Nothobranchius furzeri: one gene and its partner. The protein of the gene in region 2 binds, or shares a complex with, the protein of the main gene of each other region. Links are inferred from orthologs where the notes say so. Each region holds a gene or a part of one and is shown on either strand. Other genes may lie near its edges.

Region 1 (3,818 bases), on a different chromosome or scaffold from region 2:
ACATATAATCATTAACATATTGAAATGTTAGTGTTGAAAAGTGCATCAGCCACAGACCAGACATGAGCAGTAGTGATGCACCGATATGAAATTTTTGGGCCGATATAGATATTAAGATCACTGTGATGGCCGATAACCGATATTTGCCGATATCGATGTACTGACATTAATGCTTCTAAAATCTGCAGATTTTGTATAGAATAAAAATTATTAAAGCTGAATTTACGTTATTATGTACACACACCACATACATTTACACTTCTGAGATTATTACAATCACTGTGACATGACTAAACAATTACACATAAACTCCCCTCACCCTCTGAAGCAAGCAAACAAATGGTGACCAGATGGAAAAAAAAATGGTTGATAATATCGGCCCGTTTTTTTTTTTTTTCGAACCGATACCGATATGTTAAAAAATGACTAACATCGGCCGATAACAATATTGATGCTGATATATTGTCCATCCCCAATAATTAATTCTCATTGAATTCAAATGTGTAAAGAGGTTTACCTTGATACCAGGGCAGTGGACAAAGAAGGCTTCGGGACTCTGTGAGTGGTAAAGGGACCCATGGCCAACGCAACCCCACGGAGCCCGAATGGTGAGATTCCCACAGTCAAACAAGTTCCCAGAACGGTAGCGGTACTTGGCTGCTTCATTCACAATCTGGAAAGAGACAAAAGCTAATTGGAATCATACTTTTATATGTTATTTGACAGCTGTTTGTAAATATGTGATATGTTGTCCTGCTTGCTTGTGAAATAACAGATTTTATCATCAAAACACTTTTTTTATTTTCTCAAACTCAAATCTTTATTTATATAGCACTTAATCATACAATGCATGCAACTCAAAGTGCTTAAAAAATTAAAAAGGGCCCGCATACCGACATTCACTCCCATCCCCTGAATTTTAATCAATCAATCAATCAATCAATTTTATTTGTAGAGCACCTTCCACAATGTTATCAGAAGCCCAAAGTGCTGAACAGCATCATAAAAACATTCTCAGTACCTGGGCATAAGAGCAAGATAAAAACATTAAATCAAAAAATAACAAGCAAGCAATATTACAAATACAGAGAGGTAACGGAATGAGACTAATCAATTAAAAACAAATGGTGGACAAAATAAGATCAAGCATCTTGATCAAAAAGAAGAAGTATTAAAAACCATAATGACAGGGCAATTCAATGAAACCTATCGCTGAAAAGCAATCAAATAGAAATGAGTCTTTAAACGAGACTTAAAGACTTGAAGGGACAGTGCCTGCCTAATGGTCAATGGCAATTCATTCCACAGAGTTGGAGCCAAAACAGAAAATACACGATAACTAGGGCTGGGGGTAAACGATTATTTTTAAAACGATTATTCTGACGATTATTTTATCGAATAGTCGACTATTCTAATGACTATTTAGAAAATTAATCTAATGATTATTTTTCTATTGCACAATTAACAAAAACCAGAAAATCTCAAATAAATTCCTCAAAAAATTGATAAATTCTTACTGTAAGAGAATAAACACTACAGGCCTTCCATTTTGTGTAACACTGCTTTTATTGTGTTGCGGTTGGTTATGTTCTGGTGACATGTAGAACTTGGGAGTGCAGGCTGCTGCCTGAGAGGTGGTAGAAGATGGAGTGTCGCCATGCTGCTTTGTTTTGGTCACTTATGTGCGTGAGGCGAGTGGTGTTACGACCCTTCCTGGGGAGTTTGGCTCGTGTGCAAAAAGGAAGGGACAATAACGGGATTTAAAAGTTAAAATGATGATCAGGTTTATTTACAACTACAAAAACTCATAAATCTTTCCATCCACAGGTTGGGAATAATAAAACTAATTCTGCCTGTGGAGAATTAAAACAAAGTACAAATAACTAGGGATGTCCCACTGGGCAACGATTACTGAGTTCTGGACCAAAATAAGGATCTCCAAAAGTCCAAACTCTAAACTGGGTGGTTAAACCAAACTTAAGGTGATATTTTACACTAAACCGAAAACCCACAACACTCTAAATGTAATAAAAGGGAGATCTGCACCACAAAAAAGATGAACTCTAAACCAAAACGTAACAGCTTATCCAAACGCAAGAAGCTGTTAGCGAAGATGCCAACAGTAGCTTTACCAACATTAAGTTCAAGTTACCAAATTTAAATAAACCAAAACCACCCAGCAGCAAACAGACCAGCACGGAGGAGAGACTGATACCACCAAAACAGCTCTCCTAATGTCTGAAAGAAGCTCCTTAATGAAGGGAGAAACGCTCCCGGTGATGTCCTACATCTGCGGTAGAGACGAAGCAGCGCATCTGACCCCGGAAGTTGTTGTCCGTTGCCGGGAGACGAAGGCGGGCAACACAGGAAAATGATCTAGTAGTGGACGGACATTGTTCCGGGTCTTCGGTATTTGGCGGAGATGTTATTGAAGGCGGAGAAGAGGGCGAACTAGAGGAAAAACAGGCAGATTCCTCCTCTATTTACAAACTCCTGGGGATGCAACAAGTGGGCGCGGTGCGTCGACTTCCGGATCTGACGTCGACAAATTTTTAGAATTGAGCCGTCGACGTCGTCGAGGCTTCGCTACAGCCCTAACGATAACCCCTAGATCGATATTTGGACCGTGGGACCACCTCGGGGACCTGCTCGGCTGAGCGAAGAGACCGAGATGGAACATACTTGTGCAAAAGTGCAGTAATGCAAGAGGGGGCACTGCCCTGGAGGGCCTCATAAACAAGAGTTAGGATCTTAAATTTAGCTCGATATTGCACCGGCAGCCAGCACTGGAGTAATGTGATCTCGGCATCTAGTACCTGTCAAGAACCTAGCCACTAAAAACAGTCTGACAATAAAATCCCCCTCACAACACTCATCCTCTGGCACACACGCACGCAGACACGCACACACACACACACACACACACATGCACACACACACATGCATGCCCCTCCCCAAGGAAAAAAACACAATGGACTGAGATCAGACGAGCCAGACCAGCTAAGATATGGACAAGGAAACGCCATCAGGGGAGTCATCCGCCCCGACAGCAGCAGATTCACAGCAGCAGCCGAGGCACCGACACAGGGCGCCCAGGGCAGCGAGGGCGAAGACCCCCACCTCCACCTAGGCACACCTGGAAAGCAGGCCGCCACAGCCGACCACCGCCCCCGGGGCAGAGGGCACCCACGGAGGAAACACAGGAAAAAGGTAAAATTAAGATTAAAATATAATCCATCCCGCAGCGCTCCTCTGTGACATTGGGGGTGGGGTGGTTGCACATGTTCCGCTGCTGTTTCTCACCAGTATCAACTGATGGAGGGCTCTAGATTTGCTGCGCCATACGTGTCAGCAGACACAGTAGGGTCGGGGAGGGGGGCAGGGCATGAAGCTTAGCCTGGCGGGTGGGCAAGCAAAGCCTCTCGGGCCGCCAGGCTTATAAAGCGCTGAGGGAAACTGATTTGGATGTAAATACCCTCAAATAAAAGCTGACAGTCTGCAGTTAAAGCACATCTTGTTCATTTCATTTGATATCCATTGTGCTGGTGTATAAAATAACTTATCTGCTCACAGATTCCATTCTTTTTTTTTCTCGACAGTTGGGGACCCATGGTCTGGAAGTAGGTGGGTGTGACTCCCTATGAAGTTTTTGTGATGCAACAGCAGGAGAAACGATAAGTTTCAGTGTGTGAGAGAGACAACAGCAGTGAACAGTGGATCTACCTTCATAAAAAGCAATAATCGTCTGTTCTCTTCAAATACCAAAGCTATTGAAATAAAAGTTTTTAACAAGCATTTTGAGCTCAGGGTTCTTTGCA
Region 2 (4,468 bases):
AGGTAAATACACAAAGGCAGTAGGCTACTATTGTAACCTTTATCAAATAAAAGAATGGATAATAATAGAAAATTTGAGTTTCTAGGAAGATGGTAAATAGCCTGTATTTGTATAGCGCCTTCTTAGGGTTCTACAACCCCCAAGGCACTTTACAAGACAATCAGTTATTCATCCATTCACACGTTGGTGATGAGGAGCTACAACGTAGCAACAGCTGCCCTGGCGAGCGCTGACAGAGGCGAATCCTGCCAAACACTGATACCACCAGTCCCTCTGACCACTACCAGCAGGCAAGGTGGGTGTCTTGCTACTGCTGTCCCATTTAATATACCGAATGACCAGAAATAACAGCATAAAGAACACAGACATACAATCGTACAATCATAATAATGTTATTTTAACTTACAGTTTAGAGGTTATATTCTGTAGCGGTTGTGCTTCCTGCTTAGACGTGTCCTTCACAAATTTTGTCAAGTGCAAGAAAAGTCACCATCCAGATTTAAAGGTATTGAACACTTGTTTAATCAATACATCTGTAGTGGTCTCTAGTAGGAATGAATACCTTGTATGTCATATTCTGGGGGGAAAAACAGCGGTGTGCCATTTTCAGGAACTAGAAGTGAGCCACATCCCAGCTGAGCTTCAGAGCGCAGGATTTGGAATCTTTTTTCCTTGTATTGGAACATCCTGCCTCGGGTTGGATAACAGCAACATGACTCTACCACTGACTTGCAATGTGGATGTTTTATCTCCACAAATACCTTAAAGCTTGGTTTATGCTTGACGCATTCACTTTCCGCTTGGTGATGCGGCTCGCGGATGGAACGCGCTTCACAACTCGCAGCGTTTATGGTTCACGCGGCTTGTCTCTGCGGTGAGCCAATATTCTCCCAAACTGAACGGGGCAGCATGAAGCTCTACGGCATGCATCCAACACTAAACCATAGTAGAAATTACTGTTGTTTACAACATGGCATTCCAGCATTTTTAACAGCGTCCTCGTCTTTTCCGACAGTGCAAGCTATTTCTCTCCAAGATTTATTAACAACACGTTGATCAAGGTGATCTCTGAGAGCTGAATCATACAAATGTCTGTATTTACGAACCTCTGCCATACTAGTTCTTGCCAGTCCGCCATGTTTTTCCACGTCCGACCGTCCGCATGGTTAGAATTTTTTCATAGGTGCGCGTTGCGGAAATTTTGGGCCGTGGTTGTTAAAATGACGCAATTTCACAGCGCGGACCTCGCGGACGCGTCAAGCATAAACCAAGCTTTAGCCTAAAGGAGTTCTGCTGTGTGGGGGAGTTTCTAATGCTAACGTTAGCTTCTACTTGCCAAGTCGTTCTCTGCGGTTTCCTGGGCGCTAAACCATCTACAGCCTTCCCTGTCGTGAGTCAAGATAGGTGGGTTCAGGAACGTTCAGTGACAGTGTGATGTAGATCTGTCAGGATTTTCTAATCCTAGATTTTCACTGTGTATTTTCTAGCAAAAGCTAATGCAGGAGATAGGTGTAGGAGATTGTTTTCATGTTCAGCCTGCATGAAAAACTCAAGAGTGACTGATTATAATCAGAAATAAGTTTTAAGTATTTTTTCTCAGTGTTCCACATCTTTAAACAAGTATGTGTGAGCATGCTGCTGGACAATTACTGCACTGCATTTGAATACAACTGATAAAGGTCTCTAGTGCAGGGACACACAGAACCGTTCAAACGCCTAGGGACAGTTTTCAACCTGACATGCGTGTTTTTAGTCTACGAGGAAGCTCACGCATGCACGGGGGTGGGGGTGTTGCAAACATGCAGGTCATGGAATTTGTGACCTCCTAGACATCAATGTTACAAACTGTACCGCCAAGCAATCCTAAAGTGTAAAAGTGCATTTCAAAATTATAAACCTTTTATAACTAAGCCGTCTTTGTTTACTTTAGTGGTGCAATTTTCGACAGCACTATGAGCTGTATTCATCTCATGATGCTGTTGTATGATTATGACCTGTAGGAGGTGTATTAAACAAACTTGTGGCCCGACTGGTTTATCCCTTACGCCCCTTCACTCGACCAATTGGAAACAAGCTAACCTAAACTTTAGCCAGCTGGCAAAGATCGTCAGACACAAAACAAAAAACGCATAACGTTAACACAACAATGTGGTATCCATCCGTGAACATGTAACTGTGATTGTCTGCAATAGTTTAGAGAGACAAAAAAGAAAATTGTATGCTTCCGAATCTGTTAGCATAACCTGCTAACACTCAGGTATCGCGATAATTTAACAGGTCAAGCGTGTTCAAAATGTTTCATTCTAATTTTTACCTCATGAACTTTGCTAAACGTTAGATTTACTTCCATATAATCTGCACCAGTTGGTGTAGACATACTTATTTTTATTGTCTCCTGCAGCCTACCAGGCCACATTCAGACCACCTTAAATAACCTCTAGGATTTCCAAGTTAACATCCGAAACTATGTGGATCTCCGTACGAAGACGTTCAAATCATTTCAACTCACGCTGATTCTGATGGATCTACACTGAAGCAGCCTTGGTGCGTTTATTCCTCTCGTTTCACGCACAGCATGAAAGCAGATCCCATTGATTCTGCGCATTGCGCTCACAGCCGCCATTCGGATAGTCCAGTCGCTTGGTTTAATTCAGTGAGATTGCGTGTTTGTAAACTAACTGTACAGGTATGCCAGACCTTAACGGTACAATAAACTTAACTCTTGAAACCCTTCAGTTTGTGTCCATCCTGTCACTCTTCTTCTTTGAACCAGTAGGTCAGAGGTAGAACAGATACGCTGCTGCCCCCTGCAGGTCATAAACTGGTTTTACGTTGATACTAATTCCAGTAACCTCTAGGGTCCTGTGTCCGTGGTCCACATTAGCTCCTTGCACTTTAATTTTTTTTTCTCTTCTACTTGGACCCTTTTGTTATTTATAGAAACTTGATATTGACTTTAATAAAAAAATCACTTTATTTCCGGACATTTGCAGGTTATTTTTATGAACGTATTTAACTTCTAAGTAACTTATTGTTCTTGTCACATTGCTCTTTGATCAAACACTACCAGAAAAACTGAAATCTCTGCTTATATTTATAATCTTTACTAATATATGAGCAAATCCGACATCGGCACGTTGCACACATGACGTCACCACAGAATCTCTGCCATTTTCCCTGTTTTTCTCCGTGTCTGCTTCGATGATGTCACTTTCATAAAGCGCATTTGTAGTCCTGGACTTATTACACAAAACTTAAAATCTCTCCCCCCCTTTCGAAAATAAGCACGTTCTTGGTATTAAAATGCATCTTTATGGACATCATATGTGAAATCCATGGCACATAACAAGCAGAATTAGAAAATAGCGTCTTTAGCACCATTGACTTGCATTCATTTTTTTGTTTTTCTGGGGACCCGTGGTCCGGAAGTAGATGGGCGTGGCTTAGGCTCTATGGAGTGCTGTCTGTCACCTATGATTGACTGTCACTATGGTAATGCTATGGAATCTTGCGTTACCATAGTTACAGCTCAGGTGCATCATTTAAAATGCTCTTTCAGACTTCAGTTCCATCTCGAGTGAGTAGGACCTTTTCTCTGCGATCTCTGTGTTTGCTGACTTTAGTCTTCCAGAGAGCAGCTCTAGCATGTAATAAAACTACCCACAAACAAACCAGCCCAACATCTGACATGTTTAGACTTTCAGATTTATCTGAAGTGTTTCCTGTGCTTTACTGGGAGACTTTAACATTCCTCAAGGTAAACTGGTTTTATCATTTATATAAAATACACCTGCTGGGAAAAAAAATAAAAAAATAAACAACAACCCCTTAAGCAGGTCAGATTACAGATAAAAAGTCAAGATAAAACTCATTTGAATCTGAAATATGAGTTATAAACGTACATTTCTATAACTAGACCTACATGCTATCTGCCGTGTACAGTAGTTGTGTCTGGAGAAGGGACTGATCTTTATTTCTGCACCAGTTTGACAGAAATATAAATAAATGCCACTTTTTCATCAGTGAATAAGTTATAAATTTAATAACATTAAGTGAACAAACTATTTTGACTTGTTTACATTTAAAAATGGATCCATCAGCTAATAGAAGAGTCATTTGGCTTGATTTAGCAAACAGAAAAGTCAAGAGGCTCAACTGCAGGTTATTTTTATGTACGTATTTAACTTCTAAGTAACTTATTGTTCTTGTCACATTGCTCTTTGATCAAACACTACCAGAAAAACTGAAATCTCTGTTTATATTTATAATCTTTACTAATGTATGAGCATCAGGACCAAAGAGAAATTTCTTTGATGTCAAACAGTTTGTTATTTGTCTGAAGAGGATTGCATTATCTTCTTTAAGTTCTGATATATTTTTATTAATATATTTCTACGTCATCAAACATCTGGTCTGTGATCCGATCATTATTATACATAAGAGGTACAGCTGATGATGGCTCCTTTCA

What was found.
Region 1: the proteins of bckdha (region 2) and bckdhb are in contact, whole or in part, in a crystal structure (PDB 1V16), measured with the Homo sapiens proteins. The link is inferred for Nothobranchius furzeri from reciprocal best matches to the Homo sapiens genes BCKDHA and BCKDHB. Residues at the interface, in NP_000700.1 of Homo sapiens: Phe155, Leu185, Gly186, Lys187, Arg189, Gln190, Gly196, Cys197, Lys198, Phe202, Val203, Thr204, Ser206, Pro208, Thr211, Pro214, Gln215, Val217, Gly218, Ala219, Tyr221, Ala222, Arg225, Gly244, Asp245, Ala248, Asn251, Phe252, Thr255, Leu256; in NP_000047.1 of Homo sapiens: Pro89, Thr90, Val92, Asp117, Arg118, Phe120, Asn121, Thr122, Pro123, Cys125, Gln127, Gly128, Ile129, Gly131, Phe132, Ile134, Gly135, Ile136, Val138, Thr139, Asp158, Gln159, Asn162, Glu163, Ala165, Tyr167, Arg168, Tyr169, Arg170, Ser171.

Annotation. Positions count from the first base shown.
Region 1 is NC_091745.1:53,415,161-53,418,978, forward strand, and holds part of bckdhb (2-oxoisovalerate dehydrogenase subunit beta, mitochondrial), read right to left. Parts: intron 674-3,818; coding exon 518-673; intron 1-517. UniProt on the Homo sapiens protein: Together with BCKDHA forms the heterotetrameric E1 subunit of the mitochondrial branched-chain alpha-ketoacid dehydrogenase (BCKD) complex.
Region 2 is NC_091753.1:46,809,933-46,814,400, forward strand, and holds the start of bckdha (2-oxoisovalerate dehydrogenase subunit alpha, mitochondrial), read right to left. Parts: upstream 2,801-4,468; 5' UTR 2,624-2,800; coding exon 2,510-2,623; intron 1-2,509. UniProt on the Homo sapiens protein: Together with BCKDHB forms the heterotetrameric E1 subunit of the mitochondrial branched-chain alpha-ketoacid dehydrogenase (BCKD) complex.